Linked DNA regions of Tamandua tetradactyla. The protein of the gene in region 2 binds, or shares a complex with, the protein of the main gene of each other region. Links are inferred from orthologs where the notes say so. Each region holds a gene or a part of one and is shown on either strand. Other genes may lie near its edges. The genes, in order: IL22 and IL22RA2.

What was found.
Region 1: the proteins of IL22RA2 (region 2) and IL22 are in contact, whole or in part, in a crystal structure (PDB 3G9V), measured with the Homo sapiens proteins. The link is inferred for Tamandua tetradactyla from reciprocal best matches to the Homo sapiens genes IL22RA2 and IL22. Residues at the interface, in NP_443194.1 of Homo sapiens: Lys65, Ile66, Tyr99, Gly100, Gln101, Arg102, Trp104, Gln128, Glu129, Pro130, Tyr132, Met148, Pro150, Arg151, Thr153, Trp155, Trp156, Glu157, Glu200, Pro246, Met247, Leu248, Asp249, Arg250; in NP_065386.1 of Homo sapiens: Phe47, Gln48, Pro50, Thr53, Asn54, Phe57, Met58, Lys61, Ser64, Leu65, Asp67, Asn69, Thr70, Asp71, Val72, Arg73, Leu74, Lys162, Gly165, Glu166, Asp168, Leu169, Met172, Arg175, Asn176.

What each region holds. Positions count from the first base shown.
Region 1 is NC_135333.1:136,421,158-136,428,393, forward strand, and holds the start of IL22 (interleukin-22), read right to left. Parts: upstream 3,145-7,236; coding exon 2,965-3,144; intron 2,529-2,964; coding exon 2,463-2,528; intron 2,336-2,462; coding exon 2,192-2,335; intron 1,238-2,191; coding exon 1,172-1,237; intron 1-1,171. UniProt on the Homo sapiens protein: Cytokine that plays a critical role in modulating tissue responses during inflammation. Plays an essential role in the regeneration of epithelial cells to maintain barrier function after injury and for the prevention of further tissue damage.
Region 2 is NC_135351.1:37,377,892-37,385,449, reverse strand, and holds the start of IL22RA2 (interleukin-22 receptor subunit alpha-2), read left to right. Parts: upstream 1-4,527; 5' UTR 4,528-4,555; coding exon 4,556-4,640; intron 4,641-7,558. UniProt on the Homo sapiens protein: Isoform 2 is a receptor for IL22. Binds to IL22, prevents interaction with the functional IL-22R complex and blocks the activity of IL22 (in vitro). May play an important role as an IL22 antagonist in the regulation of inflammatory responses.

The DNA.
Region 1 (7,236 bases), on a different chromosome or scaffold from region 2:
AAAAAAAATGCTTCTTGGTTATGGCATGCTACTATTTATCCCTTCAAATCTAATAATTCTCTAACAAGAGAATTGATCTTTCTGATGAAAAACTACAGAGCTTTCGATTATCAAAGGAAGAAATGCTCATGTTCACTAAAATACACTCAGAAAGAAATACTTTTTTAAAAAAATTAAGATTGAAATAGAGGGGAAATTGAGGTTAGGCTTGTTAGAGAAAATTCCATCAGTTAGAGCCTTCCTATTTCTAAGTGTTTAATCGCATCTGCTTGGAAAAGCATCTCTTCCTCAGACTACTAATGATTCCTCTGGTATTGGGGTGAATCACAACTGACAGTCTAAGTCATCTACTATTGTTCTTTCCCCAGATAGCCACCGGAGAGTATCAGTCATTGCAGAAATGAATGCTGGTACAAGGTAGATAAATTCTCAGTAGGGATTTATTGAGGGAAGCAGAAAGGAAACTAGAAAGAGAGAGGAAGAAAATACAATATCCAATTCGGACTTCCATTTCACCATAATAAATCCACTACTAATGATTTTCACTCTATTTGAATCTGGATAAAAATGTAAAGATTGTTTGCTCCTGCTTCTAAACTGAAACCATAGCTGCTGGGTATTATGTTAGGATAATTAAATCTAAGTATCAGTCACTCCAGAAATTTACCCTATGGTAAGTCCACCTCTTTTGTTATTGTTTTAAGTCTATTTCTTCAAGTTTAAAATCATCAAAGAAATGGCTTCAACTCATTTCCATAAATGCACTCAAGGTACTTCTCTGTTTTTGAACAAGTGTTTCTTCAGAATATATGAATCAACAGAAATCTGAACTTTCCCTAAGAATTAATAATACTAAAACTGAGGGTCTATTATTGCTTTTTTTGTCTAGAATTCAGAAGACTTCCGTGCTAGCCTTGTCTTGCTGGCCACTTGCCATCTCACGGTTATGGGTTAATGAGAATAGATAACCCAAGCTCCTAGCCAGCTCTAGATTTCTATGATGTGCAAAATTTGGAAATTGGTTAATAAATACATATACACATCTATGTGTGCAGGTACCTAAATTATCAGCTTGATAGTAAGAGAATCAAGTAGAAATCACTAAGTAGAAAAAGGAAAGGATGGCATATATCTGTCCTATTCAAAGATTTGGCATTAATAGTGATCATACCTTTTTCACCGTTTCCTTCAGCTTTTGCACATTTTTCTGGATATGTTGGTCATCGCCCTGAATATGCTACAAAATAAAAGCAAGAATCACTATTTTAACACTGTAGCACTGAAGTTTAATGAACCTCAGCCTCTCTGTCTGAGGTACACTACAATTCACCTGGAATTGAAGAGCTTACTAATTTTTGCCCACAGTGACCTAGATTTCACCAGTGGCCTACATTTTCTGAGCTTTTGAATTCCTCTGGACACCAACATCCATTCACTTCCCTTACATGGGACCTCTCTTCACCTTTGTGCAATTCTACTGAGGGTTAAGCTGGTGGAAACAGTGGAGTGGTTTATGCAGATTCTCACCAGAATAAAACCCAAAATGCACCTCATTAAAAACATGTACTCAGAACAAGAAAAGTGCATAACACTTCTCGCCTGAAGAGTAGACCCTCCTGGATAAATGCTAGGTCCCCTTCCCTCTGCCTACCCTACTCTAACCTTTTTTCATAGTTTTAAATGTTCAGAGGCATCATGTTCACACTCCTCTGATTTTGTCACTTCCCCTGACATCAAAAGGCAGCAGTCTGCATAGCAACCCTGAGCATTATACCTTCCTGTTTCCCTCTTTTTGGCTTTCACTTTCTCTTTCCTCCCATCCCCACCCGCTGACACATTTTAATCAGTGACCCATTTCCACATCTAGGTTTTTTTTCTTTACATCTCCCAATACCTTCTCATCACATATGACCCAAATTGCTTTTATCCAGGGCCAACAAATAAGGCTTCCGTGCAGTCATTTTGCAGACCCCCATTCACCATCATTAACTCTATTAAAGCAAAAGAAACTCTCCTGGTAATACTATTGCTGAGGTATGTCAGCAACAGTATTATTGCTGGAATAATACTATTGCCCTGTTGGCCCAGGGCGGAGCTGCTGCACCCATCAGCAGCTGATGGTGGAATGGGGGACCCTAAATGGAAGAAGGTAGGTAGAAGTGGGTGAATTTCAGTTGGGAGAAGAACTTACACATTGGCTTAGCTTGTTGTTGAGCCTGGCCAAGAAAGGCACCACTTCCTGCATATAGGGCTGGAATTTATCAGACTGGGGTAGCAGCACATCTTCCAGGGTGAAGTTCAGCACCTGCTTCATCAAATAGCAGCGCTCCCTCATCTGCAAGGCCAAGGTCAAACAGCAGTGGTCACAATAGGAGGACATGCAGAAGATGCAAACCATCATCACCACCACCCCAAATAACCATGGATGGCACACTACCCTGCCCATCACGAGTATGGCTTACATTGATACCACGGAAAAGTTTCTCCCCAATGAGACGGACATCAGTGTTGTTATCTGCCAAACTGGCCTGGAAGAGAAAAAGAATCTAAGTGCCTGGACATTGAAGACATAGAAGAAAAGTCTGTAAGTAGAGAGGTATTCCACTCTCCAGCTCCTTTCCCCAAAGCAACCCCCTTAAAGACTAGAGAAAGAATTGAGATATATGCATGAGTTTAAAATAATGCACTGAAGAGTAAAGGGGGTAATGAATAGTTAGATGGGCTGCTTGGCTCCTCTTTGGGTAAAACTCAATGTTATCTATCCTAAAGGCCAAAATGGAAGGTCCTCTGGCAAAACCAGGTCTCTAAATAGTCTATGAAGGGGCATGGGAAATTATCTCTGAGTTGCCAGTAGGGAATAATTTTGGGTTCTTAAAGATCTTAAAGTGCTGTAAAGTAAAATTTAAGCCTTATTTAGGTGCCAAGTAGATAAGCTGAGAAAAAGAGAGAAAGTGAGATGATTACCTCTTTAGCCAGCATGAAGGTACGGTTGGCGATATAGGGCTGCTGAAAGTTGGACTTGTCAAGCCTGCAGTGGGAACTGATGGGTGCAGCAGCTCCACCCTGGGCCAACAGGGCAAGAAGCAGACAACTGGTGGCCAGAATGCCCATCAGGGAAAGGTACACAGATTTCTGGGTGGTCATTGTAGACAACTCTAACTTGAGCAACCGGCAAATGGGAAGGAAAGCCTGGTATCAGGAGAACACGAGACAGACATGACATGAGGGAAAAAAATTATCCACACCAAACAAATCAATTTACCAAGTTTGCTGAAACACTTACCCGTTTCAATGATACTTCTTGTGTTGTGAGGAGTAGAGGCTGCTGCTTTTATATCCCCCAGGATGCCTTTTTTTTTTAATCATGAAAAATATGACATCAGCAATTATCTAATTTCCAGTTCAGTCTTCTGAGAACTACCTAACCACCGTAGGAGCCACAAGACGCCACCTTCCATCCTTCCCACCTTGAGATGCAAGTGTTTCCCTAATACGTCACTATTAAGGCCCAGAGGGGCTTTCACAGACTGCATCCTAGAAATTCTCTTAACCCTACATATTTTCAGAGAAAACAATTGCTTTGTCTTAGTAGATTCCAGATTCAGTATGCTATTCTTTGATCTCCTATAGTAACTTAGTAAGCATTTTGGTCACGGACTCATTTTTCTACCAGCTTCATAGATTTTTATCTCATTAGACATGTTTAGAAATAAAGGACACATGTCCGAGATGCTCTGCTTTAAAGGTAATGGTCATAGTGGCTTGTAGGAATTCCATTTTAAAAAAATAATTTAATCTCAATTTTTTAAACATGTAGAAACCTGAACAAGACATGTATTTTAAAAATAGTAAGGTTAGCTAATCTAAGTGCTGTTTTCTTCCCATTCTGGAGCTTTTAAAAAAGGAATCTTTTTTGATTGATTTTTTATTTTTTATTGAAAAAGCAATCATAAAATTATGGCAGGTACAAATTAATCTTACATTTTATTCACTGAATTATAATCAATTCATAGTTAAATTTGGACATAATAATGCTACACAATCTGATCATCATTTTCTTAAGATGCAAGTATTTTTTTAATCAAAGAATACAAGGGATACAGCAGATATAAGTTCACCTTGATATTTTACCTGGACACAAGTTAAGTTTCAAATTTATATTTCCAGACACCTCTCATCATTATTTATATGATATAAATGGATTTCTGAAGAAAAGGGTCTGGCAATATAGTGGATACAAGTTGACTTTAAATTATTAAAACTAAATTTAATTCTAAATGACACCTAAAAACTAGACTGGAAACCATCCTGAGGTGTAGGGGCAGAAAGCAAGTTTTAAGTAAGTCTCTGGGTTCAAAAGTGACAAAAAAGAAGTTGGGAAAGTTAAAATGCTTTCATGGCGCTGACCCTGACCACCGATGTCCAGGCAGAGTGGACGTGACCACGTGGTTGTTCCTCTACCCACAGTCCTCTCCTCCCCACTTAGAAAACTCACTTGTTTTCTTTCCACAACTATCCATTCCAGGAGAGAGTGGTACTTTTCGGTAAACAAGCAAATAGTTTTCAAAATACAACTACCTGTTGCTGGAAAAAGGAATGTGAATTAGTGCAAATTTGTTTAACCAGATTTTTCTCCTCTCAACTAGTTGAGCTCAGGAGTGTTGGAGAACTGAGGGAAGTGAATAATTATGGAATCTTGAGCATTTTGCGAGGTAGCACAGATCTAGGTGCAGTGCCACGGTGAAGGGTTAGGGCAGCTGGAGGCCAGTGAGCTTTTGGGAAGGATGCCTCATAGGAAAGCAGAAAGGTGCCAAAGGAAAGGTTACAGAGAGCAAATGAAAACTAGATCTGCTCCAAATTTTTTCCTGGGGCTGCTCATAAACCCAGAGAGATGAGGAAGCTTTTCTTTATCCAGTTCTCTATTTCATGAGATATGGCCATTTTTGCCCAGAACTCTGTATAATTGAATTAGCACTAGAATTAAGCTATATTATGGATTAAATAGGCTTTTGTTGGTTTGCCTAAGAACCCGACAAGTATAAATATTATTGTTCCCCTGGAGAAATGTGTTTTGACCTCACCGAATTGTAAGCTTTCAAGAGGAAGGTCTCTGTCTCTCTCATTTTTTTATCTCCCACAATTAGCAAGTTCTGCACAGATAGGAAGGACTAAGTAAAAGCATATTGAATAAATAGATAAATAGGTTCATGAATTTTAACAATTTACTAAATATCTTAGGGAACATACATGGAAGCAATTCTGAATTGCCTTCTCAGTACTTCTAAAATTGGGGTTCAAGCCAATTTACCAACTTCACTATTGTTCTAAATAGGAAATAAATAATTGGGCAATGAAAACAAATGCCAGAAAATTGCAAAGTTATCTTTAATAGCAACAATATGCCGACTATTCATTGTGTGCCCCTGATGGTTCAAGCTGTCAGTGAGCCCAAGATGTTAGGTTTTAGTGAGCTTGATTAGGCGAAAAATTGTTCTGCAGCTATACGCAGATTCCCGAATCATACTAGGCGTTTCAAAAATATTAACTATTAGAAGAGATTGTGGATATCATATAAAACTGCTCCTGAAAAAAAAAAATTAACTGGAGACATGTGTACCGAATAATTTCAGATCACAATGAGCCTTCTCTTCAGATGTTTCCTTGTCATTTTTCAAGACTCCCTTAAAACCTGGGTACTTCTTTCACCCCAGATACAAAGATTCCCCATGGCCATGACACTAGGCCCCTGCAAAGATAAACCCATAGTTTATTTTGGATATAAGCAACAATCTATATGTCAGAAAAAGCCAACCAGAATCCCCAAGCAGAAGGTAGGCTTCTTCTGTTTCATTCGCCATCCCATCGCCAGCACCTAGAGTGCTAGCACACAAAGATGACGAACAAAGACCCACGGACAGCAGGAATTAAATTACTTCCCTACTCCCTAGGAGAAGGAAGACTTTTTTTATATCACAGGTGAAAAGTTTTGAGCTCATCATACTTCTCAGCTCAAAGCACATTGTTCCATACATGGTCCCTCGTGTGCACATTTGCACGTGCACGTGTGTGTGTGTGCCCACCCTTATTATTCTCCTTCCCTCCCCACCAAACACCTCCCACGCCCAAGACCACCTCTTTCCCTGCCATAACCACTGCTCTAATATGTTTAATGTGGTTCTGAATATGTATGTACCCTTATAACACCTGAAGTCCAGTTTAGTGTGGGTAGGTGTTTTCATATTATAGGAATGGTTCTCTTTCTTACTTTTGCACTCTGAGCTCTATGTTGCCGTGTGTAGCTCATGCCTCCAGCATGACACTCCATGGTGTATACCCACCACATGTACTGCCCTGTCTCCCCTCTGATGGGCACCGCTACTGCTTCCACTTACACACCATACTGACCCTAAAACTGAGCAACCTCAGGCAAGCCCTTTTAATGGTCTTTTGCAAAAATATCTTTAGAATAGTTGTCTAGGGGGTTATTCACTGGGTCACATGGACACGTTTATTTACTCTTACTAGGTACTGCCAGATTGTGCTCTGGAAAAGCAGCATTCATCTCTCTCACATCTGTGAATCAAGATTGCTGCTTCCTTACAATATTTAGTATTAGCCATACTTAGAATTAGCCAACTTTTTTTTGCCAGTTTTGGCCGTTTAAAGTGATATCCTCTCGTTTTAATTTGCATTTTTCTTCATATTGGGTTTCTCATGTTTGTAAATTGGCCATTTGCATTTTTTGCCCATTTTTGTGTTGGGCTTTTAGTCTTTTTCTTGTAATTTTTAAGAGTTCCCTATATATTTTAGATATCCTTCCCTTGTAGATTTTAGGCATGACAAACTCTTCTCCCAAGTTGTGTTTATTTGTTCTTTCTTGAACAGAACACCTAATTTGGATATAATCAAAGTCTTTTTTTCATCATATGGTTTACACTTTTCAAGGTTTTGTTTAAGAAGTCTCTCTCCACCCCTAAGTCACAAAGATACATTTTATTCATTATTTATTTTATTTAGCACTTATTTAAATATGTTTTATTTTAGACTATACCTTTTGTTTTATTTATTCTGTGGTTTTATCTTTCACAATTGGTCTTTAATGCGTTTTTGAATGTAGTGGAAAGTAGGGAAAAAGTTTTATTTCCTTTACATAATGACGCAGTTTTCCCAACACAAGCTACCAAACAGTGACTCCTTTATCATGTCTGAATTTCCCATGTATAGATGGCTATCTCT
Region 2 (7,558 bases):
CAACCCAGGAATAGATGTGCCTACTGTGAGAGCTTACAATCTAGGAACCTTACAATAAGCCTTCCCCTGATAACCTATGCTTTCAAATTCAATTCTCAGAATTTGCATATTATAGCTAGTCCATGATAGTGAGGCATTATAATATTTGTCCTTTCAATTCTGGCTTATTTCACGCAACACACTGTCCTCAAGTTTCATTCACCTAGTTGCATGCCCCACAACTCCATTCCCTTTTGGAGCCACTTTGTATTCCATTGTATGTCTACGCCACAGTTCACTCTTCTGTTCATCAGTCAATGTACGCTTAAGCCCCCTCTATCCATTGCAAATCATGACTATTGCCATTGTAAACACCAGTGTGCAAATGTCTATCTGTGTCCCTGCTTTCAGTTCTTCTAAGTATATATCTAATAATAAGGTTGCAAGATCATATAGTATTTTGGTTCGCTAAAGCAGCTGGAATGCAATATACCAGAAATGGATTGGCTTTTACAAGAGGAATTTATTAGATTACAAATTTACAGTTCCAAGGCCTTGAAAATGTCCAAATTAATGCATCAACAAGAAGATACCTTCACTCAAGAAAAGCCAATTGCATCCAGGTTCCTCTGTCACAGGAAAAAGCACATGGTGATGCCTGCTGGCCTTCTCTCCCAGATTCTGGTTTCAAATGGCTCTTTCAGCTCCTGTTTCCATTGGCTTTCTCTCTAAGTGTCTGTGGACCCTCATTTAGCATCCCCAGGCAGACTCTGGGTTTCATCTCTTAGCTTAGCATCTCCAAAAGTCTGTGTCTGGTTTCATTTCTCTGCTGTGTCCACTCTGAACTCTCTCTCTCTCTCTGTCTCTCTGTCTCTTTCTCTCTCTCTCTCTCTCCCTCTCCATGTGCTCTTTTCAGGACTCCAGCAAACTAATTAAGACACAGATTGAATGGTTGGGGTCACATCTCCATAGAAATAAACTAATCAAAGTTCCCACCTGCAATGGGTCTGCCCCACATGATTAGATTTTAAAAGCATGGCTCTTCTGGGGTACATGACTGTTTCAAAGCAGCACATATAGCACCCTATGTGTAAGTAGGACCTTTTTGATGATGCTATTTTTAGTAGAGGCATGGCCAATTGAACCAAGGTGGGCCTTAATCCAGATTACTAGAGGCTTTATAAAGAGAAAGCCAAGTGATAAGCCAAAGACTGGAACTCAGTGGAAACCCAGAAGAGAATGGAGAGGACATCATCATGTGATGGCTGGCAGAGATACAAGCCAAGGAATCTTGAGGATTGTGGCAAGCTAGCACTAAATGCTTCTGTCCCTGGGGGGAAGCCAGCCTTCTAGCCTCCAAAATCATGAGGCAATAAATTCCGATTGTTTAAGCCAACACTTTGCATGGTATTTGTCATAGCAGCTCTAGCAACCTTAGACAGTATGCAAAGGACTTAACTCAGGGCTCCACAATGATAGAGTAAACACTTAGATCATTATCAACCCCAAAATGGCATTCAAATGACCAGAGGAGTTTTATAAGGGTAGCAACTTGTAGGTAAAATGTTTAATCTTTTTTCTTTTGTTATGAAAAATGTCCAACATATACAAAAATAGAGAATATAGTGAACTGCCTATGAACCTAATTGCCCATTTTGACAATTATTAATTTGTGGCTATCAGTCCCTTCCCCAACCCCTTGGATTATCTGAAAGTAAATCCTGGCCATCATATCATTTCATCTGTAAATACATCAATATATATCTCTAAAAATAACTTCACAATGATTATAAAAATAACCACCACACCTGTATCAACCTAAGAATAACTAATAACAATTCCTTAATGAGATGAGTGGCTGGTCTGTGGGCAGCCTCAAGGAGAAAGGAAGACGCGAAGCAAGTCTGGCCAGGCAGGGGCTCCAGGAATTGTCTGGGCACCCTGGGGACCTCTCTGGCGCATCCAGCAGGCTCTCTCTATGGGGCTGGGCACAGAGAATGGTCTGAAGCGGGCATTTCGTGCTTGAAGTGAAGCATTGAATTTGAAAGCATAGGTTATCAGGGGAAGGCTCATTGAAAGGTTCCTAGATTGTAAGCTCTCACAGCAGGCACATATATAACTGGGTTGCATGAGTGGCGGGGGGCTCCATCAACTGTGATTTTCTTCTTTCCCAAACCAAAGGTCATTTCATTTGAGACAACTGTGTGACAAATTTTTCTGCTTCCCCACTGGTGGGAAATTCTAATTTAATTTCACCTTTCCGTCAACCTCGCAGCCTTGCAGGTGGCTTTGGCTTCCAGGTGATTTCACACAATGAGAGCCCACTGAATTGGGAAAGCACTGGTTTTGGTTTTGGAAATTTAACAGAGCAAAGAAGTTCACATCTTTGGGAGATGCTGCTCTCAGCATATTCTCTATTCCTTTCTCCTCTTATTTTCCCCTTATTTGTTCTTCAAAGTCAGGAACCCCTTTTGGAAACCCCAGCTTCATTCTCAGCTGCACTACCTATCAAACCTTGAATTAACATATTTTTCTTTTTGTTTAACTGGAATTTGTCACAATTTGTTCAATTGGAAACAAGAGCTAGTAACGTTGAAGATACTGAGCACCGCTAGTTCAAACCGAGTTATCCCCCATTTAAAAACCAAGGTTTACGCAAAATCTAGAGTCATCAGATAATGCCAACAAGTCAGAGACGGACGGTGATGAGAGATAGCAGACAAGGGGCAAATGAGGGACACAAGGCCTGTGTCTCATCCCTTCTTCAAAAGCATAGTTAGCTTACGAGACAGGGACCCTCCCCTGGAGGAGACAAGGTGTCTGGACTCTGAAGTCTGACTCAGCACAGACACACAGAAATCCCCGTGTCACCGTCACAAGCCCCTCCACGCTGCCTTGGCTTCAGAAAGCATGTGTCATATCGGTCCTTGAGTAACTGTGGAGTTTATCGTGTGGCAGTGGCCCTGGGTTCACCCTACCCTGGTCCCTAAGGAAATTCCCACTGGGCTCTGTTCCAAGACACCTTCATCAGGGGTGGGGCTCCCCAGGTGTCCCCAGCTGCACCCAAGGCTCACCGTGCCAGGCACACGACGGTCCAGAGCTGTTGTACACAGAGGCTGGGCATGGGGTGGCAAGGATTCCACACTCGAGAACAATGTCCCCTGTGCTCCTTTCTCACCCAGAATCTCCTCCCCAGCCCTCTCTGAGAACTCCATGTACCTCCCACCCAGCAGCTGGGCCCACCCCCACTTCAGCTCCCTCATTCCTTCCCTCCCTTCCCACAGCCCTGGGCCTCACCTATTCTTTTTTGGGGAGGGTCGGGGGGTGGTGGTGAGAAAAGTGGCTTTGCAAACAGGCTTCCAGAACATTTGGCCTCCCATTTAAGGAGGAGAGATTACCAGTAGCCAGGGCCCTGCCAGAGCTCTTTGTTTTCTGTTTTTCCCTTTAGAGGAGCTTAGGGAAGGCAGCGACTTCGTGTCTTGTTTTCTGCTGCATCCTGGGTGCTGAGAACACCTAGTTCATGCTAGGGCCGCAAATATGTGCTTAATGCTATTGAATGAATGAGTGAATGAATGAATGGGTACTGCTCAGAAACCATCACTACTCCTTACTAAAGGGGACATGGCACCAAAGACTCAAAGAGATACACAAAAGGAAAAAAAAGCCAGAATATATTTCCTCTTTTGACCTAAGCCTCTCTTTAAAAAAAAAAATCTTTGCAACTTTCTTGTGCTTTAATGTGTATTTTTAGTGCCTCTGAAAACATGCAGTAAAAAAAAATATCAGTAAGAAAAATGTTACAATGACTCATGGGCAAAGAACAGATGGCTTGGCTCAAACAGATTTCAGGGGCGATATGAACGAAGACCTAAGGTAGCAGCTCACAGCCTCGTCCTCCGTGTACCTTCTCATGGAGGGGGTCTTTTGGTTTGACAAACTCATAATCTTTGTCCAGATTGATGAGTCCTGGAGCCCAAGGATGGGGACGGAAAAGGGAGAGTCATCATTCATGAACGGGTCTCTGAGCAGGCAGGGTGGTGAGGATGGCAGGGGGGCTTTGGAAAGCTAGAGGGTGGCGGGAGGGAAGTGGGTCCCCCGAGGGGTCAGCCTGGACCTAAAGGAGGCAAAGACAGAAACAGAGCAGGGTCCGCCAGTCGCCTTGAGCCACTGCCGAGCACATCACTCAGAATCTTCCCAACAGCCACACCCTGCTTCCTGACAGATCCCCTCCGGGCCTCCTGAGCCTCTTCTCGCTCACCTGCGTGCCCCTTGCACAATTTCCTGCCCCGCCAGGTGTGCCAGGGCTCTACGTTGTACCTTCTCCCAGCTGACGAAGCGCCGGTCCCAGCCACCGCGCGCTGCCGTGTTGTAAAGGAGATGCACCGCACGGGGTTCTGAAATGACACTTTGGACTTTTTAACTCCCCTACACAAATAAAAGCATGCAATGTAGTTACACAAAGGAATTGTGGTTGCTTCAGGAACAATTGGCTTTGGTTAAACCCAGGGGGCCAGATATTGGCGTGGGAATCTTCCAGTTCCCCGTTCACCGTGAGCTGCCTCTCGCTGAAGGAGACATGGGGCACCCGCCACTCGCGCTCGGGACCATGGGGCCCCAACTCGGCTTTCTAGGCATCCTCATCCTCCTGGCCGGTGTGGGAGGTAAGTGTTTTCTTTCTTGTTAATTGCTCACAGCTTTGCCAGATGATCAAAGACCTGTTAGAAAGGGCACTGGCTCTTTTCTGGGCTTTATCAACATTTCAGCTTTCTTCTGTCACCAATGAAGGGAAAGACATAGGGTCAGTTACTCTGCAGCCAGATGAACTCCACATGTCCTTGAGACATATCTTCAAAGGAGCAAACACCCTAGAGGGTATAAGAAACGTGCAGCTGGACGAACGTGCACTGGCTTGCTCTCTCTGCCGAGAGTTTCCTTTGCCTTCTAGGGGCCAGGGAGCATAGATTCCTCAGCCAAACTGCCTGAAGTTGAATTTCTACTCTGCCTGGGGCAAGTTACATCCCCTTCTGTGTGCCTCAATTTCCTCACCTGCAGAACAGAGGCTGTTGGTGATTGTGAAGATCACGTGAATGTGGAGATGCCAGGCAGGTGGGGCAGTGGCTGGCAGAGAATGGGGACCCAGAAGAGCATGTGAGGATTTGCTGGGTCACACAGGGAATGCTTCGGGAGCTGGAGCATCTTATCACAATGCATCCCGGGGCCGGTCATGGTTTGCGGTGGGTCCCTGTCAGTGCAAGAGGCTCAGGTATTTCCTAAGAGCACACAGAGGCTAGTGACAGGTGCATAAGCACAAGCCAGGCCTCTGCCCTCCACCGGGTGAGGATTTGAGGAAACTGCACCTCTGCCCTTGATAATACCAACTCATTAGCAAACTTTGGCTGGGATTCAGATGCTACCAAAATGATCCTGGTTGTGCATTTTCATGGCCCTGTCACTTAGGTCAAGAGACAGGACATCTTTAAGCCTCAGCTTCCCCATCTGTAAAATGGAATAGTTAAATGCTCACTTTCTCTGAGAGTCATGAGAATTCAGTAAGATGTAAAGTTCCGAGCACAGCCTCTGATCTATAGGGCACACTCGATGAATGAGTGCCAGAGGGAAGAGGGGAGGCAGGGCGGCAAAGAGGACTTGCTCCGCCTCTCATTCTCTGCCTCCTCCCTCTGCTCCTCCTCTCTCCTGAAGCTTTGCTCTGGTTCTCTGGATAGGGAAGTGGCAGGCTCTGGAGTCAGACTGTCTGGGTGCAAAACTAGTTTCACTAAAGCCTTAGTTTTCTATTCTACGAGAGGGAGGCAGAAACAGCACATCCTCGTAGACCAGCTGGCAGGTGAGCTGCAGTAATGCAGGTAGAGTCCCCCCACCCCCATCCCCAGCATCTGGTGCCCAGTGGGTCATCCTTGGTGATGCTGGAATTGTTGTTACAATAATAAGAGAAGGAATCTATAGACATAGGAGGTAAAGTGCATTGAGCTTCTGTTTTAGTTTCCTTGGCTGCTCAAGCAAATACTATACAATGGGTTGGCTTAAACAATAGGAATTTAATGCTTCATGGTTTTGAGGTTAGGAAAAAAGTCCAAATCAAGGAATCACCAAGGTGATGCTTTCTCCTGGAGACTGTGGTGTCCTGGGGCTGGCTGCTGGTCCTTAGCTGGCACACAGCAGTGTCCCCTGTACTCTCCCTTCTCTTACATGTTCCGCTGATGTTCAGCTTCTGGCTGCTCCCTTGGCGGCTTTCTCTCTGTCTGTCCATCTGAATTTCACTCCACTTATAAAGGATGCCACAAATAGGGGTAAGACCCATCCTGATTGAAAAGGGACATCCTTAACGGAAGTGACCTCATCAAAAGGTCCTCCCTACAATGGGTTCACACACACCAGAATGAATTATGTATAAGAGCACGTCTGTCTGGGGTACACACAGCTCCAAACTACCACAGCATCTATCTTCAGGTTAGCAAACCAACTTGGAAATTTATGTCCTATACATGACTGATGAGGTAGTGATTCTGATGAGTAAAATCAACAGTGGCCCCAGATGCTTTCCAAGCACATGCTATCATTTGAGACACTCAAGGACTTATTGAAAATAAAAACAAACACCATTTGATTGGTAGAAATAAATACCTTGAGGAAACAGCCCCATTCACTACAAAATAACAGATCTTGAAATCTAGAACTGAGATCATTGGCTTAGAGTATCTGCCTGCATCTCAGTAAGGTGATATTCCAGCGAGACTTGAAGGAGGCGAGGAAACGAGCTGTGTAGAATCCCAGGGGAGAACATTCCAGAAAAAGAGAAGCACCAATGCAGAGCCCCTTGAGTGGGCTGGTCCCCAGCAGGTAGAGTGAGAGTAAGAAGGCTGAGGAGCTCAGGGAAATGGAGGTCAGGGAGAACGGAGGGTAGCCCCCTGATCCTCCTTCTGCCTAATCCCCTACTCCTCATCATAAACTTCAGACCCTAGAATACAACTTTGTCCAAGGGCTCTTGCTCCCAGGGAACTATATCAGGTGAAGTTGGGCTTCCTATGTCTCCTGTCTTGAGGAAGAAAGCACAGGCCACACCTGAGCTAAGTCACCCCATCCTCTAAGGACACCAGGCACTAGCATGGGTTCTTAGCTGGCCCAGTCCAGCTGAGCAGCTAGGAGCCAAAATCAATTCCAGGCACACTTTGCCTCACAGCAGTGGGGCCCTGGGTGGGCTGAGGAGCCTTGGCGTGTATGGCCTCTGGTCTCGGCCATCCCCTTCCATTACCATCCAGCAAGGGTCTAAGGGAATGGTTTTCTTTACTGATGCTTACTTCCTCTCTAGCTTGAGGAGTGTGATAGGTGAATATTGCCTTTAAAAAATCTAGGATGCAATTGTCCTGAAATGTTTGCGTCCATCAAAATCATGGCATTGAAGATTGAAGATGTTGACTTCTGGGCTCCAGCTCCACCCTCTGCACACAGCGGTGTAGAGAAAACACTTCAGGGAATCCCAAGGCAGGCATGACCTTGCTACTACTGGTAAAACAAGGCTGCCTCTATCAACGTCAAGGGTTTCTCCTTTTTCTCATCATTTTAG